4 linked regions of the Mus musculus genome follow. The protein of the gene in region 1 purifies or fractionates together with the protein of each later gene. This does not show direct contact. Links are inferred from orthologs where the notes say so. Each region holds a gene or a part of one and is shown on either strand. Other genes may lie near its edges. The genes, in order: Mphosph6, Exosc9, Exosc5 and Exosc3.

Region 1 (8,150 bases):
CTTATCCATAAAGCCTGTGAAACCATGTCTATACCTCTGCACAAGTAGCCGACAGAACTTAATAAGTAACCTATTAGGAGAGCAGGAGGACGCACTGCACTGCTTCAGGTTTGAGGTGGGTTGCCCTGGACTCACAATTTGCATGTTCCTGACAGCCAGCCAGCCGGTAAGTACCTGTTTAATGAATGAGTCAGGGAAGCAGGAAGAAGGAGCACAATTTGTGAGGAGAGACAGACTTGATATTGGATATTATGCGCCTCCCAATCAACACTTAAATTCCTCTAGGACTGTCTCAACAACGCCCTCCCCTTCCCTGCCTCATTTGGGTGTCTGTCCTTGCCACTGCCATTTTGGGCGAACACAATGACTGTCTCTTCTTGGAGGAAAGGCAGGACTTCTCTTTGAAGCATTACTCTCCCCACTATGAAGTCTCTCGCCTCCCGCTGGGATTATAAATCAAGTCCTACCCTAAACCAGGACAAATGGAGACCCTCCTTGACTTTGAAATTGTGAGCAGAGTGCCTTAAGAGCTGAGAAATCTGCTGGTGTTCACCCAGTGACAGTTTACATTCATCCCTGCTTCCAAGATTCCTTGGTGGTCCTGGCTGCTGCCCTTTTTTTTTCCCTTTGTTCTTAAGCCCCCTCGTCAACTCTAGGAACTACGGGGTATCCCAATAAATCTGTTTTGTGTATGCCCCTTCATAACTGGTACTTGGAAACAAACAAGCAAAAGTAGCAAGTGGGACTTAATATACCATCTGCCTCAATCTCTGCATGAGAGCATCCTCTGCAGGCCCCAGACTCTTCTCCCCCAGCTCCCGCACGGGGAAGGTGTGTGCTGCCACAGCAGCTCTGAAGTCAGTACTGCAGACATGGAGAGAAAGGGTGGGAGGACTCAATATGGAGAGAGGAGTCCTCTTCTTGATGGATCCAGTAGTTGGCCTTTACAATCCCAACCAACTTCATCATGACATGACTCGGAACCATGTGAAGACCTACTTAGGATATTTCTGACCACAAAACAGTGATTTCTTTATTGTATTTAATCACAACATGTTATTGAGTAGAGCATCTATCCTGTGTTCTATAATCTAGTACCATCAAAAGATTAAGGAGTTATCTTCCCTGTGGGGAGCAATTCAAAGCCACAATTACACTATTAGTCTTAAATTACTACTCATGTATTACATTTGGAGAGGTAGGACTTTTGGGTATTCGTTTTAAGTATTTGCAACACCAAATAAAAATACAGAATGTTTTTAGTTGACTGCTTGAAAACTTTGGTCTTTATCTCTCAAACGAGTGCTGAAGAATTGAGACAATAGCATCCCTGTTTCGGGGAAACAAATCAAAACCCAGTGCTCAAGTAGACTAGAAATAATGGAGGTCTGAATGAAGTTATGGAGCTTGGCCAGCCGTTGATGGTTGTACACATGCTATTACATCCACAAAGGACGATGTTTTCCTCTTCTTAACCCAAAAGGACTCATCCTTCAAGAGTTAACTCAGACACCCTCGAGCTTCCTGGAGATTAAGTCACCTTTTCTTCTCCTCTGTCCTCAGGCACTTCTTTCAAAATCCTACACAGTAGCCAAGGTCAGAATTCTAGGAAGTGGATTAGCAGGTATGATTGTGTACTGTTTGCTTGGTAGAGTTTCAGATTTGCAAAATGGGGAGTGGGTGACCTGCAGCTACAGCACACAGCCCTGGGAATGACTGGGAGGACTAACTAGTCCTTGGCTAACTTGTAGGATGTAAAACAAGGCCAGGAGTGGAAGTCGACTAAGTCTCAGGTGTGTGCCCACCAAGTCTCCGGGTCTCAACCTGCTCTACCTTACCAAACCTTTTAGCATAGCTTCACATCCCACAAATCCTCCTTTTTCTTTTTATAGGAGGGGCATCACTGGAGTGTCTAGAGTGAAAATTTAGGGTGGGGTGGAATATCAAAATAAAACACAACACCATAAGCCAGAGGGGTAACAAGGGGTGGGAGCTAAGAAAACAAGGGATTATTGAAACAATTAAATGTCATACCATTTGGGATACACTGCCTTTGCCAGGCCAGAGAGGCTCAGGGACTCTTGCTATGCCATCTTTGGTCAGCAAGCTCTTGTCACAACTGTAACTTATAGTTACATGATACTTCATTTTTCTATGGTCACCATAATGAAATACTACAGGGGTGGGGTGGGAGGGGGTGTTGGGTGTCGGCTACATGTATTTCTTATAGTCATGACCAAGGTAGTAGTAGTTTTGGCTTCTCTGGGGCTTCTTTCCTTGGCGTGTAAATGGTCTTTCTTTTAGCACACACACCTCTGGTGCACTCAGAAGTTTTCATCTTATGACAGGAGGCTGAAGATTTAGCTAAGTGGTAAGCTTAGTGTGTGGCTGTAGGTTTCGTCTACAGCACAGGGGAAGAAAGGCTACCAGCCACACTGGATGTGGGTTCGTCCTAAAGGTTGTCTCTTGAAAAGCCCTGTCTCCAAACACAGTCACATTTTGAAATAATGGGGGTCAGGACTTCAGTATTTGAATGGAAGGAGACATAAGTCTGCCATATATGGTTAGTCCGGTAACAAGATAGCAGGATTTTTATTTATTTTATTTTTTATTTTTGGTACATTCTACCACCAAGGCTTCATATAACGATATTTTCTTGACTTTCAAGCCTTCCCACTTTGATCTGAAGAGGGCCACCCTGGATTAAATTTAAAGTGACCCTAAAAGTCACTGGCTGCAGCCATTTTCTTCCTTCCACGGTATTTACTGCTTTCTAATGTAGCTCCAGGAAAGGGTGGGAATGTGTCTTTAGCCCCTTGGTGCTCACCCATGTCTCACTGACAGTTATGAGTAAATGTGTTTCTGTAACCACTTAACACATTATGTCTTTATTTACTCCACTGAGAAAACCTGCAGGGCGTTTAATATCCGGAATGCTTTATGAATCTCGACTTTACCACTTCTCCAGCGGGTTGCTTATTACATGCCAGTGATGTGTCCTTCCGTATACTTACGAGGTACGGCACCACAACTTGTGGAAGTCCATTCTGCCCTTCCATCACGGGGGTCCCGGGGATCAAACTCATGTCCTCCTCGGGCTTGGCAGCAAGTGTTTTCACCCATTAAACCACCCCTGGCCCCTTCACAAGTTGTCGCCTTGCGTACAGCTCTTGCTAGTTCCTGCCATTCTTCCCATTCCAGAAGGAAATCCTTCAGGCTCCAAGATGCACAGCGAACAGGTGTATGCATATTCATCAGTCTTCCACGGTTTGTGTGCAGCCCTACAGCTATCACGCAGCCTGGGTTTGTGACCACCTCCTTCACTCTGGGACAGAGCATAGCGACACCAGCGGCTCAGGGCTACTGAGAGTTCTAGAAAACACGCTTCATAGAAAGCCACCATTCGTATTTTTAAAACTTTTAAACTCTGGCAGCAACCTCAGCGGCCTCAGCTAGGACCTCAGCAAGGAACTTCCAGACCGGGTCGTTAGGGAGTCCTCGGGTGTCGTGGAGGCCCCGCCTACAGCTCCAGCGTCCTCCCCTTAATCCGCCTTTCCTGAGTTTAGCCCTGGGACCCTGAATCGCAGTCGCCCCGCGGTGGCCCGAGCTCTTACCACAGCTCTTTGCGGAGAGACGCGCTCCGGGAGCTGGAGAAGCCAGAAGCAGCTCCGAGCACTAGGGCGGGGCAGCGCGATGGGTGTGCCTAATCGGGGGCGTGGCAACGGCGCGGGGGCGGAGCTAAAGCTCTGCCACGCCTGTAAGCGACGTGGCCCGGGCGGGTCTAGAGCGTCGTCTTATCTAGCTCCGCTCTTGACCGTGCGCAAGCGCAGTGCGGCGGGAAAGCCTCTGCAAGTGCGTCCAACATGGCGTCGGAGCGCAAGACTAAGTTATCCAAGAACCTGCTGCGCATGAAGGTGCTGAGGTCGGGAATGCTGGGTTGTCGGGCGGGGAGGCTGCTGAGCTCCGAGATGTTCCGTAGTGGGACTCGGGCCGAAGCGATGGGCAGACTGGCTCGGGATGGCCGCGGCCAGCGCACCCCATTCATTCGCTCAGCCTGCGGGCCTTTGGGCACCAGGGGTGAGATTTTGCTTAGCCTGATGTGGGGAGGGAGCCTGCACAACGTTCATCAGAGCCTGCAGAGTTGAGTGCTGTGGTGGCTTTAGTGTCTGGGCCGCCTGGGAAGTTAGACTTCTCGCGAGAAGTGGTCCCTAAGGAGGAACAACGTGAGGGATGGCAGGTAGTGTCCTAAACTGAGGGAAAGTGAGTCCAGAAGCTAAGAAGGAGAAAATCAGGGACGTTGCAAAGAACTAAAGGTAGCTCGGACGTCTGAAAGACAAGGAGCATAAAATGAGGCTGGAAATCTTAGTGGTCACACATCCAAGGAATTGTAAGCCAGGCTGAAGTTTTGTTCCTGTTGCCTCATGAGCAGGAGGAAACTGTTTTCTGAGTTAATTGCTTTTTGTTTGTTTGTTTGTTTGTTGGGGGGGGGGGGGGTCGAGACAGGGTTTCTCTGTGTAGCCCTGGCTGTCCTGGAACTCACTCTGTAGACCAGGCTGGCCTCGAACTCAGAAATTTGCCTGCCTCTGCCTCTCCCAAGTGCTGGGATTAAAGGCGTGCGCCACCACGCCTGGCTAGTTATTGTTTTTTTAAGGCCACTTTAACTGAACTGTGGATGATGGTTAATCAGAAAGGCCCAGCCCAACAACGTGAAAGCTCACAGCCAAAAGGATGAGCTAAAAAAGTTCCTGTGTTCTGGGTGAAGGTTGTCTTCGTGGTGGGAATGGAGAAAATGTTAGTGGGGTGAAATGAGTTCTCCACTAACTTTTAAACAAAATGAGTTTCCCTTTGTGTGTGTGCATGCATAGCTGTATATATACCATGTGTGTTCAGGTGCCTGCGAAGGCCAGAAGAGAGTGTTGGAGCCCCTGAAACTGGAGTTTTAAGTCAGCAGGTATGAGTACCAGGACTTAGGCAAGAGTCAAGGGTGCTCTTAGCCACTGAGCCAACTTCCCCAGCCCATGATTTTTAAATTTGAAGTTGAGCCAGCTGAAGTGGCTTTGATGGCACACATTTGTAATCCCAGCACTTGGGAGGTGGAGGCAGGAGCTTAATTTGTGGCCAGCCTGAGCTGGATATGAGACCCTGTCTCAGACATCATTAAAACAGAAGCAGCTTAACCACAATTTAAAAGGGGTTAAAAGCGGATGAACACAGGAGTTAAGACAGGGAAAAGCTAACTCTTGAAGCTTAAATAATACTAATAGAACGTATTCACGGTCCTCCCAATATTCCGGCATTGTTCTCCGTGTATATACTGAACCACTTAATTCACATAGTAACATTTGAAGGAGTTACAGTTGTCATCTCTGACACCTGAGGTATCTGAGACAGAAGTAACAGCTGAAAAGACTGGTCATCTGGCCCCAGAGCTTCTGCTTGTAATGATTAGCCTGTAGCACCTGTCTCTAACACACGGGGAGCTTGATTACAACGCCTGACTCAACAGTATTATAAACATGTGTTTAACAGAGCTGTCCTACCTACCAAGCGGTATAGTTTAGCTACACAGTACACTATAGAGTTTCAGTAGCTTACCCCAGGATGGTGTAGCTGTCTGGGAGCTGTGGCCCACTGTGCCCCAGCAGCCTAATAGAGTCTCCTCTTACATATGGCTAGCCCAGGAAACAGCATTCCTAGTAGTGTTTCTAATGGGTGGTAGCAGATCCCCACCATCTTAAAGGTGATTTGATTCATTAAGCCTCACCATGTGAAGTTGTGGTCTGTCAGTGCTTATGGTGAAATGAAAACTCTCTTAGAGAACGTGTTTCCAAGAAAAGGAAGGAAGGCATAAACGGGTGCTGTGTCGAGGGCCGGGGAGTGAGCATTCCCCCATGAGCTTTGAGTGCAAGCTGAGCTGGGATGCTATCTGGCCTAGGTATTTGTAAATATATTTGAGTCTCAGAGTTGTTATTTATGGGAGCTTGGGGCCCAGAGGAAAAACCCAAGTTTATAGAAAACATCATACAGCAATGCTTCATTAATCCCAGCACTGAAGAGGCCTGTGAGGCAGGTGGATCTCTTGCGTTCAAGGCCAACCTGGTCTACATCCTGAGTTCCAGGACAGACAGGGCTACACAGTGAAATCCTATCTGGGAAACCTTAAGAAATAAACAAGCAAACAAACAAAAAACCCTAGACAGTTACTGATGGAGCTGGAGAGCTATAGTTTCCCAGAGTCTGCTCTGAACCCTCAGTTTTGAGGGAGGTGAAATTGCTAGTTTTAGAGTGTGTTCTGAGGTCTTCCGAACCCTAGACATGCTTGGTTCACAGCCATGTTCTTATCCTCTGTCCAGTGTAGATGTGGGTGACTGACTGACTGTGTGCCTTCATGTATCCGCTAAGGCGAAATTGAAGATAGGAGGCAGTTAGTCAGGTTTTGCCACCAAGAATGTAAGGGGCCGTGTGAGGCACCTGTACTTTGAACCACAGGGTCACTAATCCAAGGGTCACTGGTACTCAGGGAGTCGTTTGTCTGCCGGGTGCCCTGGTACCTATGGCTGGCCACCCATGAGCCAGGGCACTGACACGGGCTTGCTCCTGTCTTAACAGTTCATGCAAAGAGGCCTGGACTCGGAAACCAAGAAACAGCTAGAAGAGGAGGAGCGGAAGATGATCAGCGACGAGCACTGGTACCTGGATTTGCCGGAGTTGAAGGAGAAGGAGTAGGTGACTGGGGTTCATGGGGGAGGGGAAGGTGGGGGAGGCTAATACAGATGAGGAGTGTTGCGGGAAATATTAAGACAAACTCTCAGCGGGGGCCAGGCCACGCTCCTGCAGCCTCCAACTCTCTGGAGTTGGCCCCTGCGCCACGTGAGCTCATGTCTCTCTGGCCCCTTGAGGCCACAGGGCTCCAGCCGGGCCATCTCTAGAATACACCTCCCCTCCCCCAGCCCAGTTCTTCTCACTTCCACTCAATGCTCCGCACACCCCACCTAATTACCAGGTAGAATCAAGACTTTGTTGTTGTTGTTGTTGTTGTTTTGGGGTTTTTTGGTTTTTTTCAAGACAGGGTTTCTCTGTGTACACAGGGACACTCTGTGAGTGTCCTGGCACTCACTTTGTAGACCAGGCTGGCCTCGAACTCAGTAATCCGCCTGCTTCTGCCTCCCAAGTGCTGGGATTAAAGGCGTGCGCCACTACCACCCAGCAAATCATGACTCTTAAAGCTTAATTACCTAATCAGATTTATATAACAATAGAAATCACAATTTACAAGAAGCCAATTACAATACTTTCAGAGCCAACTGATAATGATAAAGCCTTTACCCCAGTTATTCTAACCTTGTGAAAATCTTAGCTACCTGTGGCTGTTTAAAACCACACGGGATCAGGATCTTCTTCCAGTCCCTCTGCCTCCATTTTGGCTTCTCCTCCTGACAGTCCCTCTGCCTCCATGTTGGCTTCTCCTCCTGAGACCTCTGTATCTCCCCAACTCATAGCTCCACCTCCCTTCTCCTGTCCAATCACAGGCTTCCCACTGTCCTAATGTGATTGGACAGGGAAAATCCTGCAACATTTCACCCTTTCTGTTTAATTTAAAAAATATAAATTTCTCAAAATATAAATTAAGCGCAACTACTACCATTTTTGTAAATTATATGGTATAAGATAGACCCAATGTCCAGTCCAACATTTTGAACACTGTCTTCCATCCTAACTTAAAAGACTATAGTTCTGCACCTGGCTTTAGATTGTCTGTCACCTGAAAACCACCCTCTTAAATCTGTTCCTTACAAAGTAAAAGGCTTAAACATCTCAGGTCAGATTAAAATAACAGTTAAGAGGGACTGGGTCTAATCCTTGTACTTAACAAAATTTTGCATCAAAATAAATTATGTCCCGGTCCTCCTGGGCCTTCTGAGTGCTGAGATTGCAGCGATGGAGCACTGTGCAGTGGCTTGGACATAATAGCCTGTTTAGTCTTATTTTTCCAGTTCAGTTCCAGAATTTTTGTTAATAACCTGTGACTATATTCATAGCCAGTGTAGCCTGTGCCTCGTCGGTAATGCGGTTGACTTGGGCCACAGGGCCCGTTGCTGAGTGTCCGTAACTCCTTTCTTTTCCTGGTTTGCATAAAATTGACACGATTC
Region 2 (7,574 bases), on another chromosome or scaffold:
GAAATCACAGAGCTAATACAGAAAGCTTTGGAAAATGACCAGAGAGTCAGGTAAGTATCATTTTTCAAAATTATATGCTCTTTAAATTCATGTTTTATGAGATTTTCTCATCCAAGGGCAGCCATATAATTTCGTGCTTGCTCTTTAGTTAATCTCAGTTGTACATACTAGTGTTTAGTTGAGACTTTATTCTGAAAAGTTACAGAAGTGTCTTCTTTAAAAGTTAATATGTTCTTATGAAAGAAGAATCTAATAAATTAATAGAACAAACATGCTGGTTTGCCGCTCAACTTCCTGTTACTTTAAGCAACTTCATGTTCTTCTTCTGTGGGAGCTGTGCCTTCCCCTACAGCTGACTTGAGAACTGGAGAATATACTTCAAGTACCTCACGCATGTGCAGCCGAGTTCCAAACAATCGTTATGATGACTTTTATGTCTCGGTTACTGTGGTAGTATTCTAGTGGTAAGGGACCTGGCATTAGGCTTCTTCACTACCCATGTAGCATTCTCTTAGTCATGGAACTCACCCAGAGCCAAGGAGCTACAGCAGATCCAGAGGAATACTGATGTCAGCCCACAGGCCTATGCTTAGCTACGTTTCTTAGACAGCCCAGGACCACCTGTCCAGGGAATGGTGCCCCTCACAGTGGTGTGAGCCCTCTTCCGTAATTAACAGTCAGGATACTCCCTCACTGATAGTTTTTGGTCTGGTCAAGGCCTCCCTTCTCAAGTGACTCTAGGCTGTGTCAAGTTTAGTTAAAGCTATCAAAAGTCTAGTAATGAAGCAAGTCTATTTACCTATCAAGGACAAAAATTAATTTTTTTCTTTTGTCTTTTTATCTTCAAAACCACCACTACCAAAATTCCATCTACAGGAAAGAAGGTGGAAAATTTGGCTTTGCAGAGTCTATAGCAAACCAAAGAATCACAGCGTTTAAAATGGAGACGGCCCCTATTGATACCTCCAACATAGAGGAGAGAGCAGAAGAAATTATTGCTGAAGCTGAACCTCCCCCAGAAGTGTAAGTGTATCTTTATTGGGTGGGTTTGTTTTTTTTTTTTAAGATTTATTTTATTAATATATGTAAGTACACTGTAGCTGTCTTCAGACACTCCAGAAGAGGGAGTCAGATCTTGTTACAGATGGTTGTGAGCCACCATGTGGTTGCTGGGACTTGAACTTTGGACCTTCGGAAGAGCAGTCGGGTGCTCTTACCCACTGAGCCATCTCACCAGCCCCTATTGGGTGGGTTTTACAGTAATCAGATGCATAAGTTTTTTGTTTTGTTTTGTTTCTTTAAGGCTAGAGTGTACATATTGAAGTTTGTTTTGGGGGACCCCATACTATAAGAGAAAAATATGCCAAACTGAGTTAATAATGTAACATCTAGCTTCTCTTCCCTATCTAAAAATCGTACATTTTTCTATTTTAAGAACCAACTAGCCAGGCGTGGTGGCGCGCACCTTTAATCCCAGCACTTGGGAGGCAGAGGCAGGCGGATTTCTGAGTTCGAGGCCAGACTGGTCTACAGAGTGAGTTCTAGGACAGCCAGGGCTATGCAGAGAATCTCTGTCTTGGAAAAAAAAAAACCCAACTAAAAGCTGGGGGATGTAGATCATTGGTGCTGCACTTTTCTAGCTGTTTATGGCCCTGGGTTCCATTTCACCACTGTAAGAAAATACAAACCAAAGCCAGCATTCATTTCCCTTTGAGAAATGGTACTTCAGTGTTAATGACATGGCCAAGTTCTTTATGCATTGTTATATAATCTTGAGATCATGTGCAGTTATGTTATTTAGCAGTCCATAGTATATTAATTCCTAAGAATTTATGGAACACATGAAACAGTCTTCCAGGAAATCTGATCTCTTCTTGGTAGCTCATTAAATAACAGTGTTTTGGATATTCAGTTTTCTTAACTTGTTAAAGTGTTTCTCAACCTGTGCTGTGGACTCCTGGAACTGCCCAGATTGGAGACGGAATAGAAAACTCCTGGGGTGACCTTGAAGATTCTGAGAAGGAAGAGGAAGAGGAGGAAGGTGGCATTGATGAAGCTGTCATTCTTGATGATACAAAGATGGACACTGGAGAAGTTTCTGATATTGGGAGTCAAGGTAGGTGATGCTTTTAATGTGTACAGAGACAGCCACAATTGAGATATTTAAACTATAGACAAAGTTTTGTATGGAGATTATAGATCATACATAGGGATATTTCTTGTTTTGGAAGGCTAAATATTTTAGCATTGAAACTAAATTTTAATTAAACGATTGAATAGAAATATTAATACCAGTTGTAAAGAATGTTTTTATTTTTGTAAACTGGTGGTATGCTTTGGCATACTAGTGATATTTTGAACAATTTTTTAAAATTACATGTAGCCAGGTGTGGTGGCATACGCCTTTGATCCCAGCACTGTGGAGAGGCATAGGCAGGAACATTTCTACATAGGGAGTTTCAGGCAGCAGGATTAGAGATCCTGTCTCAAAAACAAACAAAAATATGTCCATGGGCACTTAAAGATTTTTCTTAAAGATTTCTTTCCTGCCAACAGCCTTGTTTAGTTTGATTCAAATATAAAAAAGCTCATGAAATAGGCCAGAGAGATGGTTCAGCTCTGGAGACACTTGAAGCTCAATCACAATAATCCAGTACTCTCTATAATTCTAGCTCCAAGAAACTGATGCCATCTTCTGGCCTCTGTGGATGCTAGCACGCACACACAGAGATACTGCACAGTAGAATTTTCTGTGGTAAGAAATTATGTACATTGGCTAGGGTAGCAGCTTCACCTATTGAACAATTTTTTTTTTTAAATTTATTATACCTAAGTACACGTAACTGACTTTAGACACACCAGAAGAGGGCATCAGATCTCATTACGAGTGGTTGTCAGCCACCATGTGGCTGCTGGGATTTGAACTCAGGACCTTCAGAAGAGCAGTCAGTACTCTTCTCAGTTAGTTCTGAGCCATCTCACCAGCCCACTATTGAACATTTTAAGTGTGGCTTATCTGAGTTAGTATGGCCACATTGGTATGTTAGAATGTGGGAAACTTTAGAAGCCCCCAGAAAGGTCTTATGTATATGTGTGTGCTCCAGTATGCCAGGGCATGCATAGGGAGTTCAGAGGAACTTGCTGGAGTCCCAGGAAGTTGTGAGCAGCTCAGTATGGATGCCAGGAACCAAACTCTGGTTCTTTTGTAGGTACATGCTTTTAAAGACGTCACTAAATGTGTGCTACCTATGTATGAAATGAGTGCCTTGAAGGCTAGAGTCAGGCATCAAATCTGGAGTTGCAGGCAATTGTGAGCTGCCCCCATGTGAGTGCTATTCCCTGAACTCATAGCAGTATGCACTGTTAACAGAAGGGAATTGCTACTTACAGCCTTTTGGTGGTATTGTTTTGGCAGGGGAACAATGTTGGTTTAACCAGATAAATGAGTAAATTAAAGATCCTAATTAATTAGGACTATTAAATGCTGCATAGAGAATCATCCAGTTGGTTTAATCATCAGTAATGCTTTTTCTTATCTTCTCACTATTACGGTGCTAGTATATCTTTGCACTTGTATATCTCTTTTCATAGAGGCTTTTTGTTTGTGGTTTTAAGAACCCTGAGCAATGAAAGTGGACCTAAAATAAGTAGGACAGTGAAGAAGGTAGAGCTTTCCTAAAACATGTGAATAAAGATGAGACAACACACAGCCCACCAAATGGGTAAAGGGTTAATTTGCATGCTTTATTTACACACATATATAATTACTGTTCAAGAGAAAAATGGGCAAACAAAGCAGTTTTCTACATTTTTCATGGGCAGTCCTGGTAGCAAGAATTAGAGCATTCTGGCCTACATGTCCTCTGGGGAAAAAGGAAAGAAAGAGTTTATAGAAAACATCAATTTTTACAAATTTTCAGAGCTGCAAGGAGCTACTTACTTAGAACAGGGTAAGATTCGGAAAGAGTGTCAGCCTCCGGGCAGTAGAGCTTGGGAGCTCCCTTAGCCTGGAGATGGGAGCGTTAGGACCTCTGATGTGCTTAAGCAGTAAACTCCTTTTTTGGACTTTTCCAAAGGTGCCCCTATAGTGCTATCAGATAGTGAAGAAGAAGAAATGATTATTTTGGAGCCAGAGAAGAACCCAAAGAAAATAAGGTAACAAATTTCTGGCCTCTTTCAAATATACATTAAAAGCTGGTTCTATAAAATGGGGCACCTTTCAGAGTCCCAGTGACCCAATCCAGGACAGATGGGATACAGTGAGCTGTTATATTACTTCATTCACAGAGCTCAGACCAGTGCAAACCAGAAGGCACCAAGTAAAGGCCAAGGGAAAAGGAAGAAGAAGAAGAGAACTGCTAACTAAGCTAAAGTGGTGGATCTCTGTGTGTGTGTGTGTGTATACATACTCAGTGCTAACAGCTCTGGGTATCTTACAAGCTGAACTTCTTGATACACTGTTTGTCTTTAACATTATGCTTTGAATAAACTTTCTGGAAAACTTTTCTGTTGCACAAGCTTCCCAACTCATGTAAGACCTTATTTGTTAAAGTTGATAAATAAAATGTCTCCATAAACTACTGTAACATCTGAGAGCCGAATGAGTTCTGCTACATTGAAAACAGTTTGTCTACTTTTGGTTATTTATGAACAAGTCAGCAGTTTGGTTTGGTTGCTTAGAATAATCAATCAATGCCAGAATTTGAAGGTCTTTTTCCCTGAAATATTTTAGTTTTATAAAATCTTTTCCTACTCCCCACTGTACAATAAAACAAATCAAGTTAGTTTCTAAACGACATCATTCATATTTTTATCTCAGATTAACTTTGACTTGCAAAGATTTCCAAATCAGTTTATTCTCAATATCTTGACAGTTGGCAGCACCAATGTTAACCAATTAAAATTATCCAAATAGACACATGTACAAAAGATATACAAATTAAAACCATTTTAAAAGCAATGGATACCATAATTTGTCTGTGGCTATACCATCTACATTCAGAAGTGATTGTGAAACTAAAACCCGACATAAAAACTGTACAGCATGGACTCCGAGCGACTCCTGTTTCAAACAAAGCCGGCAGTCTTTCACTCACACACTTAGTGTCTCTGGTGGGTTGAGAAGAGAAACACTGTGATATCTGTTGAGCAGAGAAAAAAAAAACTTTTAGTAAACATTCATTGGGGAGATTACAGAACAATTCATGTACCCCAAGACTGGAGAAATGCTACTTTTACTTGATTATGAATTTAAAAACATTTGATACGTAGAGCACATACATCTGCCCCCTTACCCTTCTCTTACCAGAAGCAAAGGCACAAAAGCTTCCTAATACATGACTTAAGAGCCAACTGAGGTAGTGGCAGGTTACTGTATTCAACAAGAATTGGATTCTTACTTTGAATGCTTGTACTTTTCCCGTATTGACTGTTGGGCATGTTGTGGCGCTTTGAGGTAGGTCTGGTGAAGGTCCACAAGACAAGGCTTAAGACTCTCCAGGGTATATCCAGTCTGTTGTGCCAATGACTCAGGCTAGGGAAGGGACAACCATTGAGTTTTTTGTAACAGCACAGGGCACTGACCACAAGCTCACAGTTGATCTAAATATTGGCACTAATCATTGACAGGATGTTTTGTTATTTCTAAATGTTGCTCCCTCCTCAATTCTTCACTCAGGGTGTCCCCCCTGTTTCAGCTCACTCACTCCATCTTTTATTTTGGCTGTTTACTTCCCCTGCTTGCAGCAGGTGGAAGGCTCAGATTCTTGAAGCAGAGCTTTCAGTGCACCTTTACAGCTAAGCTTTCAGCCCAAATCAAAGCGGCACCCATACTGGAGAAGGCAACTGGTAATACACACCCAGCTCTGTCCTGTGACTGTGTAGAGAGCCAAGTGGAAGGCAGCTCCAGCAATGAGTGAAGGCAGGTACTTAAGGTACGGGTCAGCATCTATCAAACTCAGTTCTCCCAAAAACTGAAATAAAAAACAAAACAAAACCCCAACTTTTATAATCACACATAAGACTCAAGATTTTGAATCCTTGCTTCCTGACCAGTTTCCATTGTCTTGGATCTCACTGGTTCTGTATCAGCCCTGGGAAAATTATTTCAATGTTTTCCTCTATTCTCAGCTTACATTTCTCTCCCCTAATATACTAGGTTGTTCTCTTTAAGCCACTAGTTAGCGCCTTTCCAGCATGGTCACTTTTGTGTATTCATTGGGAAGTTCTCTCCTGAACCTCTCAGCCCCTATCCATGGACACTAGATACTTAAATCTCTTACATATAAAAGATGCATGCTATTTTCATAAGTTAATGCTATATACATAGAATATCACTGAATTACTTGTAAAACAAAATAGACAATACACATATGATTGGTGTGTGCTTATCCAGTACATGGGCAGCTACGTTTAATGCCTGTTTATTATACCATAAGTGCAGAGCCCACAGGTAGAGAGGGCCATAGCATTTTCTGTGTATTGGAGCATTAACTGTCCGAAAAGACTTAAGCAGTGTTATTTGACGAAACCAGTGCTTGCCCCTTAATTGCAACCTAAAAACAACCCCCAAACTGGACTTACCATTGCTAAGCTTTCAACCTTACAGTTTGCAGGCTGCAGGTGCAGGAAGTACTGGGTAAGGAACTGATTTACTGTTGGTGCAGCCAAGTCAAAAGCAAGGACTTTCAATACTAGGTGCTCCATTCTCAGAACCTGCTTCTTGGAATAGGTATCGTCTGTAATATACACAAACTCTGCTACTTCTGGGGGGTATATTTCTTCAAACTTCCTATAACAAAAGCAGTTGTGAGTGAGTTTATTCAGAAGGTCTTGTCTTAATCTGAAGTGCAAAGACTGTAGACTCCACTCACTTCCATCAACCACATCCCACTGACAGCTGACTGACATCTCTAGCTGAGATGGTTAAAACCAATTCAAAGGCCCAAGTCACTAAAGGACTTCTGATTCGCCCCCTGCATACAATATCTCCTGATAGAAGGAAGATACAGCTTATACCCCAGAAAGCACTTTATTGTAGAAGAGCCACACTTTCAAACTCAATCTAGTGTGATAAAATGTGGTTGGCCTATGCTCATTCAAGGCATGTGAAATCCAGATCTAGAAAGCTTTATATATTAGATTAGAAAATAAGTTTCACTCTCTGTTCAGAATCATCCCACAGCCATTCCTAAAACTGGGTGTTGAAGAGATGGTACAATGGTTAGAGTATTGGCTGGGACCCAGGTTCAATTCTCAGCACCCACATGGTGCTCTTAACAGTATATAACACCAAGCTTAGGGGACCCAATGACCTCTTCTGCCTCAGCAGGGACCTCACATGTGCTACAGATATACATGCAGGCAAAACATCCAAAAAATATATAAATGGGGGTGTGGGGGGAGTAGTAGTGAATGATGACTCTGAACCAAACTAGGTGGACTTACGAAGCTAGCAGCATAGCAGCCGTGCCTACAAGCTGAAGCTTCCCTCTTAACACAGACATGGAGGAGAGGAATCTATCAATGTAGTTCACAGCCAAATGCAGGGTCTCATTCTGTAGTTTATATTCTTC
Region 3 (8,055 bases), on another chromosome or scaffold:
GTCCTACTGCCCTTTTGTACCGGGTCCAATCTGTACTGCTGACAAGCTGGTATTTCCACAGCAACCCTAGGAAGTGCCCAATACTGGCAGTGTATGGAGAGGCACAAGGTACAGTTCCTGGCCCAAGCCACACAATTGGAAAGTGGCAGAGCAGAGAGGCAAAAATCACGTGGTCCAGCTCTAGACCCCATCCACTTAACCAGACCTGTTTCCACTGGAAATTTACTTCAAAGCCCTCTAACCAGGTATTACCAACAAAATTTTTCTTTTGTAAGAGACTGTCTCACTCTATAGCTCCTGAAACTCTACGTAGACCAGACTGGCCTGTAATTCACAGAGAGGAACAGGACAGGGGGATCAGGTGCAGGGAGAGCAGGGAAGTCGATGGAAATTGGCAGCAGAGGTAGGGTGGGGGTTGAGTTGTCTTTACAATGTGCCAGAGTCCTGGGGGTGGGGTGGGAGAGGCCCCAGGGAGTCTATGGGGACGACTCTGAGAATATGGCACCTGAAGTGGCCACTGCCTGTGGCCAGGCAGGACTCCCAGTGGAGGGACCCACCCACAAAACCCTTGACCCAGGATGTGTCTTGCCTGCGAGATGTGCAGGGACATGGATGGAGCAGAGATAGAGGGAATGACTGACCAATGACTGGGACCCATCCCACGGGCAGGAGCCGATCCCTGAGGCTGTTAATGATGTTTTGTTATACTTCCAGGCAGGAGCCTGGAATAGCTACACTCAGCAGCAGATGGAAACAGATTCAGAGACACCCCCCCCCACCCCCCCCCACCCCCACCCCCGCCAAGCAGTACATGGAGGGAGCCTGGGGAGTCTTGTGGAGGAGTTGGGGGAAGGACTGGGGGCCCAGGGGAGGATGGTGGCTTCACAGGAAGACCACAGAGTCAACTAACGTGGATTCTGGGGGGGGGGGGGCTCTCAGTGACTGAACCACCAACTAAAGAATGAGCACTGGCTGGACCTGGACACACACACACACACACACTTGTGTGGCTTGTTCTTATGTGGGTCCCCCAATAACTGGAATGGGGGCTGTCTCTGAACCTGTTGCCTGCCTGTGGATTCTTTTCCCCTGGCTGGACCACCTTGTCTAGCGTTGGTGTATGGTACTTCAATGATTTGATGTGCTGGGGAGGTGATAGAAGCTCCCCCTTTCCAAAGGAGAAGGGGGAAAGGAACAGGAAGAGTAGCTGTAAGGGGGGGGGAGGGGCTGGGAGGAGAGGGGGAGCTGATATCGGGATGTGGAGTGAATAAATAAATAAATGAAAAAGAGAAAAAGACACAGTTTCACAATGTAGCCCTGGCCTGGTACTCACAGAGATCTGTTTGCCTAAGTGCTGGAATCAAAAGCATACATCACCACACCAGGTCCTATTCTTTTTAAAAAGAATCTTTTGGGGGGTGCAGGGAGATGGCTCAGTGACTAAGAGCACTGGCTGCTCTTCCAGAGGAATTGGGTTCAATTCCCAGGACCCATATGGCAGTCCAAAACTGTCTGTATGTACGCAACTCAAGTTCTACAGAATCCAACATCTTCATGCAGACCAAACAACAATGCACGTGAAATAAAAATAAGTAAACCATTTTTAAAAATCTTTTTTTTTTTTTTTTGAGATAGGGTCTCACGTAACTCAACCTGGCCTCAAATGCCTCCTCTCCTACTTCCCAAGCGCTGAAATTACAGACATGTGTCGCCATATCCAGATAAACAAACACACAGGGCTAGGAGCCAAACTCTGGACGTGGCGCGTGCTAGGCAAGCATTCTACACTGTGGTGGTACATTGCCAGACCGCAACAGATTTTGGAAGTGTTATCCTGCCCTTATCAACAATGGATCAAAAGGGAATTCCGAGTTTTCTCCAGTGTTTTCAAGAAAAGTGGGCAGCCAAGCACCGTAGCTTACATCTGTAATGCCAGTACTTGGGAGGCTGGGACAGGACTATCTCCAGTTCGATGCCTGTCTAAGCATCTGGGTGAGCTAAAGGCCATTCCGGACTCGTGGGTGAGATCCTGTCTCAAAAAAATAACGTGGGCAAAGGGTCCTGTTTGAACTTGTAGCTCTCTTTGTCTCCCTTCATAATCATCTTGTGTAAAGGACAGTCATGGCAAAGTCCCTTGCCTTGCCTTTTGATCAGGTGGCATAGGAATCAAACCAGTTTCTTGCTCAACTCCCTTTACAGTTGGAATTTAAGCAATGTAGGACCCTATGAAAACCTGATCTGTCCTTTCAACCCCCGTCTCGTCTCCTTCTATCGAGGCCCACAAGTAGCTGCCTTGCTTTTCCTCTAAAGGGATTCTTCCCTTGAATTTCTCTTCAAGAAGTTTCTCGGACCTTTTCTTTCTTTCCTTCACAGCCCGCGGTGTCTCACACAATGTAAGAATAACTTTTACGTCTCTATTTCTCCCTAAGAAAGACCCCGTGGGGCTCAGATACTCACAGATCTAGCCAAGCCCCGAACCCCAGATCGTCCCAACAGGAGAAGAGCAGCCTGGCGCAGGCCACGGCTCGGCCTCCAGATCTTGGCCGCAGACATCACTATCGCCATCTTGGCTAATAACCACTCCTCCTTTCTCACAGGATAGACATACGGCTGTCCCACCAGATGCCTTATTCAAATAGCAGCACCGCTAGGCCAACACGCTATCTGCTTCTAACCACCTTGCGACAAAGACGCATAAATGAGTAAGGTGGCAATTTTTAGTCTCTAAAATTGCTCCGGTCGTCTGCTTCTAGTTGCTCCTAATTCAGGCAACTAAAAGGACAACTTAACTTGAACCTTCAGGGTTCAGGACCCGGAGCCCTGAGCAAAATGGGCCCTCTCCAAGTCCCTCCCCCTGTTCCCTGTTGTCCAATGGCTATGCCAGAATTGGGAGGTGGAGGTGGGCGGGACCAGATTGTTAGTAAACGCTGAGCCACGTGCTAGGGCCAACTCGGGCGTGCCCTAGACGGGCGCATGCGCAATAGGTACGCGGCCGGTAGAACTGCGCGCGCCGCTAAGCGGAAGCTACGGTGGGAGCCGCAGCGCGCGTGGTCAGCGGCTATGGAGGGCGCAAAGCGTGCAGACGCCAATTTACTCACTGACACCGGAACAGAGTCCAGCCCCCGAAGTCCAGTCTGCAGTCTCCGGCACTTTGCTTGTGAGCAAAACCTGCTGTCCCGGCCGGATGGATCTGCTTCTTTTCTTCAAGGTACGAGCCTCACCAAGTTTAACTCAGCGCGCGCCATCCTCACCGAAGAAGGGTTTTTGAAGAGCGGTTACTGTGTAGTATGTAACCAAGTACGCCCGCCTCCTTGAACTTATTTCTAGATGTTGAGTATACCCACCTCCCGTCTCGAGAAGAAATGAGTTGGCCAGCCTGGTAAATCCCTCTCAGAGGAGATCGAGAGCAAGACCACTCTCATAAGAGTGACTATCCCAGAATAGGTATTTCACCAAGGCAGATATTACCCTTCTCTAGATTTCTTTCTTTCTTTTATCTTTCTTTCAAGACTTATTTTATTTATATAAGAGCACTGTAGCTGTCTTCAGACACACCAGAAGAGGGCATCAGATCCCGTTACAGATGGCTGTGAGCCACCATGTGGTTGCTGGGAATTCAACTCAGGACCTTTGGAAGAGCAGTCAGTGCTCATAACCACTGAGCCATCTCTCCAGCTCCCCTTGACTAGATTTCTTGGGTTTTTGTTGTTGTTGTTGTTGTTGTTGTTTTCACTTTGTTGTTGAACTCACTTTGTAGACCAGGCTGGCCTTGAACTCAGAAATCCGCCTGCTTCTGCCTCCCGAGTGCTGGGATTAAAGGCGTGCGCCACCACGCCTGGCTTTGACTAGATTTCTTAAAAAACACTTCTAGATCCATACATCACCGGTTGAGGCTAAGGTGTTTATTTGCATAAATACCCTTTGAGACAGACACATCACCACCACTGGTTTAAATATAATTACTGTGGCAGATGATACATCTAAGTAAGTGCTCTTCAAATTAAATGTGATCTTCCCATCCTGGGCTGAGAAGCATCTCCCCTTCCCCGGTCCCATCATTTAAGAAAACGTGCCTTTCCTTGGTATACACATTTCATCAGACTAAATGAATAGGGAGAAAAGAGAAGTCTTGTGGCTGAGACCCACACAACCCTATATCCCAGTCGGGCCAGCCAACTTTGAGAGGTCATGAGAGGGTGAGAAACTACCAGAGTAGACAGATGAGAGGGCAGAGACAGAGTTGACAATGGTGAGTTTGTTTGAGATGTTAAAGGCTGATCACCTTATGGCTAATAAGCTAGAGGTCATTGCTTATAGTGGTGGGTCAGAAAGAGCGAGAAAAAAAACAGTTGAGACAAGTCTCCAGGCATTTTCCTGCGAAGGAATCAGATAGATGGGGCAAGAGCTGACGACTGATAGAGCTTAAGAAAGGAGAAAACTGGCAGGTCAGTGGTGGCACACACCGTTAGTCCCAGCACTTGAGACACAGATGCAGGGTCTCTATGAGTTTGAGGCCAGCCTGGTCTATAGAGGGAGTTCCAGGACAGCCAGGAAACCCTGTCTTGGGGAAAAAAAAAAAGGGGAGACAGCTCGGGGCTGGAGAAATGGTTTCTCTTACAGAGAACAAAGTTGAGTTCCCAGCACCCATTCAGGCAGCTTTCAAGCACTTGTAACTTGTGGGGAGCCAGGATATTGGAAGCCCTGTTATGGCCTCTGCAGGGAACTATACACACACACACACACACACACACACACACACACACACATAACTTAAAAAGTAAAATAAATACTAGGGGGAAAAGAAGAGAATTTCTGCAGCCACATCATCGAGATGGTGGGAAGAAAGAGACTCCCTTGCTCGCTGAGAGCACAGTCTATCTAGCAGTACAGGAATGTAGCTCTAGTAAGCACCTGAGTCTATTGGGTTACCTCTGGTTTCATTGGAGAAGCACCCACAGATGTTTAGTGTTCTCATCCCAGGCTGGCTCTCAGCTTAGCTCATTGCTGAAATCAGCCTCCCCTATCTCTTGGGATATAAGAAATAGAGAGGGAACCTTCCCATGTTCTAAAACCCTAAACTCACAGGGCCCTAGTGCAAGCTGGAGACTTGGCAGACTTTCAAAAAGAATGTTGCAGACACTTCTGACCTCAAAGGCTCCTGTAAGAACACCCGATGGAGGGGGCTGTGGCTGCGGCAGGCAAGCAGTGCAAATGATGTGTATGTATGATAATGACACAATATCCCTATTACTTGACATTTGTCCTCACTAGGAGTCTCTTGCTGTGACAAGGACATAACCAGAATCAACGTGGCAGAACCTGGCTTTTCATGGCTTGTTCAGCCTGCTTTCATAGATAACCTAGGACCACCTGCCCAGTGGTGGCGCTGCCCACAGTGAGTGGGGGCCCTTCTATATCAGTTGTTGATCACTAAAATGCCCTACAGGATCATGCAGCAAGACCCTGTCTCAAGAAAAAGAAAATGCCCCCACAGACCTGCCTGCAGGCCAGTCTGATGGAGGCAATTCCTCATTTGAGTTTCCTCTTTCCAGGTATGGCTAAGTTGACAAAATGCAAAGCAAAAGAAGCAACTAGCCGGCACAGTAGCTTACCTTAAAGGCAAAAACAAACAAACAAACCAAAAACACCTGATGGTACAAAACCCCTAATCCCAGTACGGGGGGAGGGAGGGCTGGTAGAGGCCAGAGGAACAACAGTTCGTGCCCTGCTCCCTTAGCTACATAGATAGCATGGTCAGGGCCAGCTTTGACCATATAGAACCTGATTTCAGAAAGTACATCGATGAAAACCTACAGAGCCGGGGAAGCTGCCTGTGTAGGCTTGCCATCTTGGTTTTGCCATCTTGTTTTTTTTTTTGTTTTGTTTTGTTTTTGCTTTGGACTTTGCATAAATGTCCCACCTCAGAGTGACATTCCTAAGCCCTTGTTTTTTAAATAACTGTTTTTTTTAAATGGATGTCCCTAGTGCCTGAGGACAGAAGAGTACGATCTTCCCAAGAACTGTGGTTACATACAGTTGTGAGCCATCTCTCCAGCCCCAACCTCTGACCGACTTATACACATACATTTTATCGATTTGGAGCTGTGCTGTAAAGTGTAGTGGGCATTGGGAGTTACAGTCAGAAACATGGAAACTGCTGTTGAATGCAGTGCCTTCACATCGTAGGTGGCCTCTCTGACGCCTGTGGACGTTAGCAAAGTCACACGAGGTCTCCAGACCCATTCATAACCATTTGGGGGAAATAAGTAGAAATTAAGACCCCCTACACATTCACAATCTTTATTGTTTGTCCTTTTAAAATGTATTTTACTAATATATTTTAATTGCATCTAATAACTGTTTTCTGCTTGGCTGGCTTATGAGATGTTCTCCCGTAGCTCAGGGTAGCCCCAGACTTACCATTGGAGCCAAGGATGATTTTGATTTCCTGATCTTCCTGTGTGTCTCCCAAACACTGGGATATGTATATGCGTGTGTGGGCGAGAGCTGTGTGTGCGAGTGCCCATGAAGGCAGAAGAGGGTGTCAGTCCCTTAGAGCTGGGTTTCGTGGTGGTTGTGAGCAGCCTGATAATGGGTGCTGAGAACTGAATTCTAGTCCTCTGGAAGAGCAGTGTGCATGCTGACACACACCACCAGCCATCTCTGCAAACCCCAGCTACCTCTAAAAATTAACCAGTGGCTGAAGTCTGTGGTAAGCTCTGCACCTTCTGGCCAGTGTCTTATATGTTTCAAGTGAACTGTGTCTCTTTAAAGTTGGCATTTATTTCATCTTCTTGTGTGATGTTGGGAGACTGAGGGCCTCCTGCTTCTGTGAGCCACAGTCACCTGATCTTCACAAACTTACCATGAGGAAGGTACTTAGCTGCTTAAAGTTAAGAGAGCAGAGGAAAGAAGTGCTAAGTGCAGCACAGAGCGGCCAAGGCCTCCCTCTTTCCCCCAGGTGATACCTCTGTCCTGGCTGGAGTCTATGGGCCGGCCGAGGTGAAGGTCAGCAAAGAAATCTTCAACAAGGCCACCCTTGAAGTGATCCTGAGGCCGAAGATCGGGCTGCCTGGTAACTGGACTCCACTGAGCCCCCCAAAAGATCCAGTCTGTTGGGACCTCATCTGACCCCTCGATGCTTGCTGTGTCCAGTCTCTGCTGCCCTGCTCTCCTCCCTCTTTGCCCAGCTTTTGATTCTGCTGCACTGGAATGGAATCTAGAGCATCAGGCCTGCTGGGCAGATGCACTTCCAGGAAGCCACAGTCCCAGGCTCTCCAGGGTGGAGTCCGGTCAAGCCCTCTGCTGCTGAGATTAGGCCTCCCAGATCCTCACTGGTGGTCTCCAGACAGGAATTCCAGCTCTGAGCCACACCATTAGCTTTTCCCTAGTGAATTTAAGGCTATGTGGCTAGGCCATGTAGCCAGCCCTGTTAACTCTTTTTTTTTTTTTAAGATTTATTTATTTATTATATGTAAGTACACTGTAGTTGTCTTCAGACACACCAGAAGAGGGAGTCAGATCTCATGGTTGTGAGCCACCATGTGGTTGCTGGGATTTGAACTCGGGACCTTTGGGAGAGCAGTCAGTGCTCTTAACCGCTGCTGAGCCATCTCACCAGCCCCCCTGTTAACTTTTTGAGACGGGGTCTCAAGTCCTCTGAGCTGGCAGTGAGCTCTCTTTATAACCTAGGCTGCCCTCAAATTCATGATCCCACTGCCTAACCTAAAGTCTCGAGATTACAGACCTGTACCACCAGACCCACCCTCTCTTGAGCCTTTTCTTTCTTCCCTTTTTTGCCTTCCTCGCTCTTCCTTCCCATTAACTTGTTTTTCTGCCCTTTTACCACTTCTCCCCATGTGTCATGGGATGGGCCTGCTCTGATGAGAGTAGATATGGCCAGTAGCACAGGACATGGGCACCTCTGGGTATTCCTCCTTGGGTGGCTGGCTGGTAGACCCCTGGCCAAGGTTGGCCATAGCAGGAGTTACTCAGAAACTTGCAGACTCGCCCGCTTTCTCCTGGGAGTGTGTACTCCGACCCGGACTGAGGCTG
Region 4 (8,088 bases), on another chromosome or scaffold:
GTCTGAATGCTTGGTCCACAGGGAGTGGCACTATTAAGAGGTGTGGCCTTATTGGAGGAAGTGTGTCACCGTGGAGGAGGGCTTTGAAATCTTATATATGGTCAAGTTACGCTCAGTGTGTGACACAGTCTCCTGCTCCCTGCAGATCCAGATGTATAATTCCTGGCTCCTCCAGCACCATGTCTGCCTGGAAGCTGCCATGCTGCCCTGCCGTGATGATAATGAACCAAACCTCTGAAACCGTAAGCCAACCCCTGTTAAATATTTGCCTTTATAAAGAGCTGCCTTAGTCATGGAGTCTCTTCACAGCAAAGGGAAAAAAAAAAACCCAACCCTAATTAAGATAGTAAGTAAAAATAGTTTTGATTAACATTTTATACCTAATACTTCTCCAGCCACAATCCTGAAGAGTATATCTAAAAAAGTATCGTCTTTGAAGGCAGAAAAAGGAATATGCTAGCACATACTTTTCCTAACATCTAAACTTATAGTCTAAGTGGCTTCAACCACTCTGAAATCCGGTCTGTAGCTACTATTCTCACAAGATGCAAGCACATCTTGGTTTTCTGGCTAATATAGTAAACTAACTTACGACTTGTTCTGAGCTTATTTTTTCGTGGTGCTGTAACAGATATGTGTGAGTCCCCTTGAGAGGATAACTGTCCCCAGTGTTGAGCTGTGGTTCCTTTTGCCTGAAACATTAGAAGTAAGCAATGGAAAGGAAGCCCGGGGCTCCATTGTTCCAACTTCCGCTTTGCAGCCACACCTGAAAACCTGAATTCTACCCAAGGAAGAACTAATGTGGTAGGCGCGAAGTGACAATTGCAAGTAGCCCTCTACCTCTCCACAAAACATATGTAAAAAACAAACCAAGAGAGAGAGACAGAGACAGACACAGGGGATAGCAGGAGGAAGGGACGGAGACGGAGGGAGACGGAGACAGAGAAACTAAGACATCTAGGAAAAGCTTGAAAAGCTTCGGTTGAGATCCAGTTTTTCAGGGTGGTAACACTCGGCTGCCTAAGTAGGGATGAAGGCCTGTGGTACTCAAACCCCCAAATGGCCTCCACTGCAAACTCAATATAGACGCAGCTGAGTCTACCTGGGCAACTCAGGGAAAAGTTGCACAAGCCAGACTGAGAAAGAGGTACCCACATGGCCTATACTGTCTTTTAGTGTTCTCTTTATTCTCCAACGGCCACAGCCATTTACACCACCATTAAAAAAGACCTCCTGTCGTTTCGAGACTTCATGACTATCACCACTCCCGAATCCAGAGTATCCCTCTTGCTGCTGAATTCCGAAGAGGTTATAAGCCAGGATGCTTTGAGACAGACTCTTAACTGCACGCAGGTGCGCTACCGCAGGAACCTGAGGATTCGAAGTACAAACTTGGCAGGGCTCAGGCGACAAGCCTTCCAGCTCGAGGCCCTCGCGGGCGTGTCCGGTGGGTGGTGCTTGCAAGGGCCCGCCTTTTCTGGCCTTGAGTCTCCAATGACTTAGCCTCCTTTGTTTTCTGAATCCACGCGTGGGCTACCTCCTGCCCCTTTGCTAAAAGAAGTGCACCGGGTATGGCTCCTGCCCTAGATTTTGTATTCTATTTCCTTGGGAAACTCCAAACTACCTAGGGTAGGTGCTGAGGACCAGTCCTGAGAATGAGCAACGTTCATTCTCCTTCTCCACCTTTCAGAGGCCTGACATCACTGAATACACCAAAGGCATAGCATTGAGCCATTGAATTAAAGTGGGCTTGGTTGGTTAGTCACAGAATACCTATCGTTTTTTGAGACCTGAGTTATAAAGGAAGAAAGAAGCATAATTTACCTCTGCCCAGAGAACGTCTCTCTGTGAGAGACTAACCAAGTGGTACAGTCTAGGGGGCTTGAAAGGAAAAAAAATGGCGCTCGACAGGTGGAAGCAGAAACCTCTCAAATGCAGACGACATAATCAGCTGTTGAAGAAAGCTCTTTATGAGGAGTGAAGAAAACCACAAACTGGACACCAAGAAAAAGACCCTTTTCAAAATACATAGGGGATTCAGCACCCCAAATCCAATCTTTTCTGGAGAACTGGCGTTTTTAAAGTCTTTGAAGAGTCTCTCCCCCCCCCCTCCCCCAAATGTAGGGTTGGTCGATTTGAATAAAGAATTGATGGTGAATTAGGCCAGAACTGTTGTGTAATGTGTCCTGTGCAGGCCTTGAACTTGTTCAACCGGCCCATCAGCAGGGGGCTTGCTGTTGTTGCAGGTGAGAGTTAAAAGTGTGGGGGTCCCTGCAAGCTCTGCTGCCAGCGGATCCCCAGAAAGTAAGAAGTAAACGTGGTTCAGCATGACTTAGCCGGGCTGGTACAAACTTCGGGAGTCTGACTCCAGTTTATTTTTATTTATTTATTTATTACTTATTTAAACAGTAAAACTTTCAAAAGAAAAAAAAAAAGGTTTTCTTGTGACAACTATTACCACAAAGCTTAGGACACGGTTATATCTAAACTCCCTTGCAAAGTGCATGTTTTCTTGAAAAGCACCATGACCTCTTCCACAAGAGTGGGTTCTGTTGACTGAGAAAACATGCTCAGGAGAAGAGCCTAGGGAGGAAAGGTTTTTATAATCATAATAGCAAACTCTTTTTCAAATCCATGAGATCTCTCTTATAAGGATGGAGTCTATGGACTGGAAATGCTCAGGAAAAGGGGGATTCAGGTGAGAGCTAGCTCCACAGAATGGTAAAATTACCTGGTATTCAACAACCTCCATTCCAGCCTTCCAAGTGAATAGCTGTCAATTTCTTCCATTGAAGAAAAAGATCTGCATGTTTAACAATTCTGGTTTCTATAGGACTACCTGGAAGCACATGCCCTCCTACCCTCTACACAAAAGCCTACACAGCCTTTTTTTGAGGCTGCTAAGCTTGTATTGAGTTAGGAGGTTGAGGTTGAGGAAGAAGTTAGCCAACTTGACAATTCATCACCTGTTACCTAGCCGTGGCTCCTCTCCTTATCTGCCTACCTCGGAGTCTTACTCTCAGTCTTTCAATAGCACTAATTAACAACTTGGCTGGGGCACTTGTATTTCAGTTGTCCCTTATATCCAGGGATTAAATGGCTTGCCAGCATTTTACCAAATTTGCAGGAATTGTGATGCCCCTTCCCTAAAAAAAAAATCTATAAACTCGAGTTGGCAGCAAAGCATCAAGCAACTGATCTCAGTCAATGCCAAGGCCTTCAGTGCTGTTGGAGAACTGAATCAATTACTCATTGAAGATGCCGACAGAGAAACGCTGGTTTCACAGATAACCCCAAAGTCAGAAAACTGTAAGTTCTTAAGTTCTTGCACATTGTGGGTTTTGGATTTAACAGTTTCTCACATAGCTGTTAGTGTGCTCCCAAAGAAGTAGCTGGGAGAATTCCTGAGTTACCGATGTTCCCAAGCCACTGAAGAGATGAACTCAAGTAGGTGAAAAGGTGTGATGTGTGTGGGAGGAGGTGGGAGATTGTTACATTAGGTACCGTGAAGCTACAGACACAGGGCAGGGAGTAGCACCCATGGGATGAAGCGAGTATCTCCCAAGCTCAAGTCCAACTCAGAAAGCCCACAACCACCGGAAAGAGATGACCCTGGTGGGCGGGTAGCGGAAGCGGAAGTAGATACCGGAAGCTGCGATGGTGACGCCTGCCATGGCTGAAGTACTGTCCGCGGGACCGGAGTCGGTGGCGGGCTGCCGAGCACGGGCCGTGCACAAGGTGCTGAATCAGGTGGTTCTCCCCGGGGAGGAGCTGGTGCTGCCGGACCACGAGGACGTAGACGGCCTTGGCGGCGCCGGGGAGCAGCCGTTACGCCTGAATGCGGGTGCGCGCCCGAGGCTGCGCGTAGTGTGTGGCCCAGGTTTGCGACGCTGCGGGGACCGTCTGCTGGTCACCAAGTGTGGCCGCCTGCGTCACAAGGAGCCCAGCGGAGGCGGCGGCGGCGTTTACTGGGTGGACTCGCAGCAGAAGCGGGTGAGCGGATGTCGGAGAGGCGGCGCTGCCGCGAAAGTGGGCCCCCTGCAAGCGATCATAGGTTAAGGCGAATCTAGAGCCGCGGTGGCTTCTAGCCCCCTCTCTGCATCTTCTTTAGAGGAACCACAATAGGAACACATCCTGAGAAGGGTGACAGGAGAGAAAGGTTCCGTGAGATCTTGTCTTGAAAAACCCAAAGCCTCGGGGTTGCCATTTGGTGTCCCAGTTGCAATGAGTCCAAATAAATCACAGGGAATTAAAATTCCCATAGAATAATTAAGAGCTTTCACTTAGGAATAATGTCAAATGGAGTGGGTTTCCTTGAATGTAAAGATTCTTGTGCCACCAGACTTGTAAAGGATGCTGAGAAAACTTGAAACTTGATCAAGTGTGAATTAGACGTTCATAAAGTTGGACTGGTGCGGGCCGGTTTTGTAGTTGCAGCTACATGGGGAGTATGAGTTGGCTGGATAGGTTGAGACCCACCCTGATCAACCTAGATGAAAGTTTCAGAAGATATTTTGTAATGATATTTGTATTATTTATGACTGTTCTTTCATTCTGCTTTTAGTATGTACCTGTGAAAGGGGACCACGTGATTGGCATAGTGATCGCTAAATCTGGAGATATATTCAAAGTTGATGTTGGAGGGAGTGAGCCAGCGTCTTTGTCTTACCTGGCATTTGAAGGGGCAACTAAAAGAAACAGACCAAATGTGCAGGTAATAATGGGAGTCTTTGGTTTCAACAAGAAAAAATATCCACTCCCGAGAAAGTTAACTATCCAGAGGGCTACTTGAATTGTCTTCAAAGCATAAACCAGTTCTCCAAGACAGTTTATAAGAGTTTCTCAGGCGCTGCGGCTCCAGAAGTATTGCTGTATGTCATGTTTGCAGCCTTGGTTCTTTTCTACCGGGTTGAAGAGTTACATCTGCTATCCCCCTCCTTACCTGTCATGTCTGAATCCACCCCATGAGGAAAATGGCCCTAGTCTAAGGGCCATGGGCACTATTGGCTATCTGTTCATCATGGCTCTAAATCCTTGGAGCTGGAGCTGACAGAAGAGTAATCTTGTTTCTGTAGGTTTTCAGGTTGGGCTTTCTGGGTAGTTTAGCCATGTTCTTCCTGAACACCTGAGCCAGAAATGTGCTGGCCTCTCTGCTGCTTTTTCTTCAACTCTCAAGGGTCTTTAGTCACTCAATCTTATTTGTTCCTTCTCTTATCTTTTGTATGCCAACCCCTTTGTCTCACTTTTGACAGGAGCGGGCAACAATCTTATGAACTCATTAAAAAAAAAAATCTCATTAAAAAAAGGATTGTTCAAATCACACAGAGAGCATTGTACTCAGGGGTCTTTCCTCGTGGTTTCTGTTACTTCATGGAACCATATTTAAGCTTCACAGTGTAACTGGGCTTTGTTTCCTTCCCTTGGGTCTTTATTAATGGTGTTCCTGTTTGGAGCTGTGTCCTCAGCCCTAGGAGACATCACCTTTGAGGTCCAGGCTGACTGAGTTGATGACTGTCTCATCGTCACTTGTCCTGCATATTCACCACACACTGGGTTCATTCTCATTGCCCTGTGCAGGACCACATGCCCAGGAAGCCGGAAAAGGTGTAATGATTCCCGCTAGGTTTTGTAATCACCCACAACAGTGGGGACTTACAAGGCATTTTTAAAGTATGCACAGGAAAGTGTGCCTACATGTATGTTTTTGCACGCTGTGTGACAGCTTCTTGTGGAGGTCAGACAGGAAGGTCAGGTCCCCTGAAACTTGAGTTATGACAGGTTGTGAGCAGCTACACGGGTGCTAGAAACCAAAGCTGGGTCCCCTACAAGAGCAGTAAGTACTCTTAGCCCACGAGCCATCTCCAGCTCAACAGTGGGTATTTTTAATGTTGAAGAGAACAAATTTATTGTTTCCTTAGCTTCATTTTAAAGTTCAGTTTTGTAACATTTTAAAGCAAATTTTCCATGAAGTAGTATCTGAATTACCATTGTCCTGTTTTCTTTTGAATATGGATATCATGAGTTTTTTTCCTCTAGACAAACATGTAATTTGTTAGTACTGATAGAACATTCTCCGGTGATGCTGTTTGTTTTTATATCCACACTGACGTGTGCAGTTACCACTAGTTACGTGTGGCTGCTGAGCAGCTGAACTGTTGAAGAGTGGAATTTTATATATGTTAAGTAGATACAAGGCTAAATTAAACTACATGTAAGTTGGGCAGTACAGTCTTGAAGATTGTTCTTAGGCCTTGGAATGGCTCCTGGTTGGAGGGTTTCATGGTGTGTGGTGGGAGGGCTGAATTCTGAGGACCATCAGTCCCTTAGTGTGACAGCTGTGGGTCCCTGGCATTCTTGCCCATGGATCAGAACCAGCAGCAGCAGCTGTAGGTTGTCTGGATGAAGGGAACTGAACTTTGGTTTTAATCTTACAGGTTGGAGATCTCATCTATGGCCAGTGTGTGGTCGCTAATAAAGACATGGAACCAGAGATGGTCTGCATTGACAGCTGTGGCCGCGCCAATGGGATGGGTGTGATTGGGCAGGATGGCCTGCTCTTCAAAGTGACGTTGGGCTTAATTAGAAAGTAGGTTATGCTGCTTATTAACTGCCCTGCCTTCTTTAATGACCTGTTTACTCTGAGAATTTCGTAATGGTGTTTTGTTGGTCATACTTGCTCCCCATTCTCTGTAACTCCTTCCAGGTTCCTTCCCCACTTTCCTCCCCTCTCCACCCTGTCTCCTAAGTTTGCCCTTTTTAAAGACAAGCCACTGAGTCAAATCTGTGCTGCATGTATATTTGTAAAAAATGGGGCCTACTACCAAAGTGTGACCAGCCTACCGTGAAAGGGGCACTGAGCTGGGCACTGTGTCCCAGCTACTCGGGAAGGCAGGAGCGTTCTCACACCTACAAATCTGAGACTTAGTTTACATGACCTAGGTAGACTTCCTCTCCAAATACAGAGGCATTGTGTGTGTGTGTGTGTGTGTGTGTGTGTGTGTGTGTGTGTGCGTGTGTGTGTGTGCGCGCGCGCGCGCACACACGTGCATGTGCTCAAGACCGGGCAGAGACATCAAAGCAGCAGAGACATCAAGTCTTGTTTTGGGACGATGCTGAGCGGACTTTGCGTAGTCACAGAGAGCCACTCAGAAAGAAATTCCAGAAAAGGAACCTTGTTTAGGAGACCCAGAACATACACTTTATTAAATTTCATTTTCTTTCATCTTTCCTAACAGGCTATTAGCTCCAGATTGTGAAATTGTGCAAGAGCTGGGAAAACTCTATCCATTGGAGATTGTGTTTGGAATGAATGGAAGAATATGGGTCAAAGCTAAGACCATTCAGCAGACGTTAATTTTAGCAAATGTCTTAGAAGCTTGTGAACACATGACAACAGAGCAAAGAAAACAGATCTTTGCCAGACTGGCAGAGAGTTGACATATAAATTTTCTTAATGGATATTTTAGTCAAGACTGAGTTTCCTGGGGAAATTTTTTTTTCCAGGTGAATTTCTTCCTGGCAGATCTTTAGAAGAAGCATATTATTTTACTAGAATTGAATAAAATATTTTTGTAAGAGATACTGGTTGTCAATCATGTATAGATGAGAAAATTATAAAAACTTTTATATAATAAACTTTGTTGGTAGTGTCTATATTTGTAGTTCTACAGTACAGCTTCTAAAGTGAGCTGGAATGCAACACTAAACCTGTTTTCTGGTTATAATCGTAAGCCTTCCTTGCCAGAGGGAATGTTGAACACATTAATGAAAGCAAAGAATAAACCCGTCTGTAATCCCAGAAGCCAGTGGAAGAGTACACAGTAGCTCATACTTAAGCACTCACTGTGTGAGAAGTATTGTCCCAAGTGTTTCACACAGTTACCAGGAATTCTCATTGCTGGTAACTGCAGAGAACACTCAAAGATACTGAGGCACAGACTGTAACATGGCCTGAAGTTTAACCACTGTGTGTGTATGTTTTTCAAATTGGAGTTAAAAGTTGTTGTAACTTATACTCTGTCTGGTCCAAACAGGATATATTTCTTTCATGGCTATTATAAAAAACTTCAGTAATTACAAATATTTCAC

The links.
Region 2: the proteins of Mphosph6 (region 1) and Exosc9 purify together in Homo sapiens (affinity purification with mass spectrometry; 5 studies listed by BioGRID and IntAct, with this or other methods). This does not show direct contact. The link is inferred for Mus musculus from reciprocal best matches to the Homo sapiens genes MPHOSPH6 and EXOSC9.
Region 3: the proteins of Mphosph6 (region 1) and Exosc5 purify together in Homo sapiens (affinity purification with mass spectrometry; 6 studies listed by BioGRID and IntAct, with this or other methods). This does not show direct contact. The link is inferred for Mus musculus from reciprocal best matches to the Homo sapiens genes MPHOSPH6 and EXOSC5.
Region 4: the proteins of Mphosph6 (region 1) and Exosc3 purify together in Homo sapiens (affinity purification with mass spectrometry; 6 studies listed by BioGRID and IntAct, counting the BioPlex papers as one, with this or other methods). This does not show direct contact. The link is inferred for Mus musculus from reciprocal best matches to the Homo sapiens genes MPHOSPH6 and EXOSC3.

What each region holds. Positions count from the first base shown.
Region 1 is NC_000074.6:117,797,616-117,805,765, reverse strand, and holds the start of Mphosph6 (M-phase phosphoprotein 6), read left to right. Parts: upstream 1-3,791; 5' UTR 3,792-3,863; coding exon 3,864-3,914; exon of another isoform or gene 3,915-3,922; intron 3,923-6,609; coding exon 6,610-6,722; intron 6,723-8,150. UniProt on the Homo sapiens protein: RNA-binding protein that associates with the RNA exosome complex. Involved in the 3'-processing of the 7S pre-RNA to the mature 5.8S rRNA and play a role in recruiting the RNA exosome complex to pre-rRNA; this function may include C1D.
Region 2 is NC_000069.6:36,561,142-36,568,715, forward strand, and holds the end of Exosc9 (exosome complex component RRP45), read left to right. Parts: coding exon 1-50; intron 51-876; coding exon 877-1,023; intron 1,024-1,931; coding exon 1,932-2,116; intron 2,117-3,723; exon of another isoform or gene 3,724-4,076; coding exon 4,077-4,155; exon of another isoform or gene 4,156-4,287; coding exon 4,288-4,366; 3' UTR 4,367-4,586; downstream 4,587-7,574. Other genes in the region: Ccna2 (cyclin-A2), read right to left, coding at 5,093-5,141, 5,400-5,533, 5,859-5,972, 6,583-6,790, 7,447-7,574. UniProt on the Homo sapiens protein: Non-catalytic component of the RNA exosome complex which has 3'->5' exoribonuclease activity and participates in a multitude of cellular RNA processing and degradation events.
Region 3 is NC_000073.6:25,656,176-25,664,230, forward strand, and holds the start of Exosc5 (exosome complex component RRP46), read left to right. Parts: upstream 1-2,977; 5' UTR 2,978-3,060; coding exon 3,061-3,208; intron 3,209-6,961; coding exon 6,962-7,075; intron 7,076-8,055. Other genes in the region: Bckdha (2-oxoisovalerate dehydrogenase subunit alpha, mitochondrial), read right to left, coding at 2,458-2,565. UniProt on the Homo sapiens protein: Non-catalytic component of the RNA exosome complex which has 3'->5' exoribonuclease activity and participates in a multitude of cellular RNA processing and degradation events.
Region 4 is NC_000070.6:45,316,176-45,324,263, reverse strand, and holds Exosc3 (exosome complex component RRP40), read left to right. Parts: upstream 1-3,647; 5' UTR 3,648-3,672; coding exon 3,673-3,993; intron 3,994-4,564; coding exon 4,565-4,714; intron 4,715-6,434; coding exon 6,435-6,586; intron 6,587-7,235; coding exon 7,236-7,437; 3' UTR 7,438-7,651; downstream 7,652-8,088. UniProt on the Homo sapiens protein: Non-catalytic component of the RNA exosome complex which has 3'->5' exoribonuclease activity and participates in a multitude of cellular RNA processing and degradation events.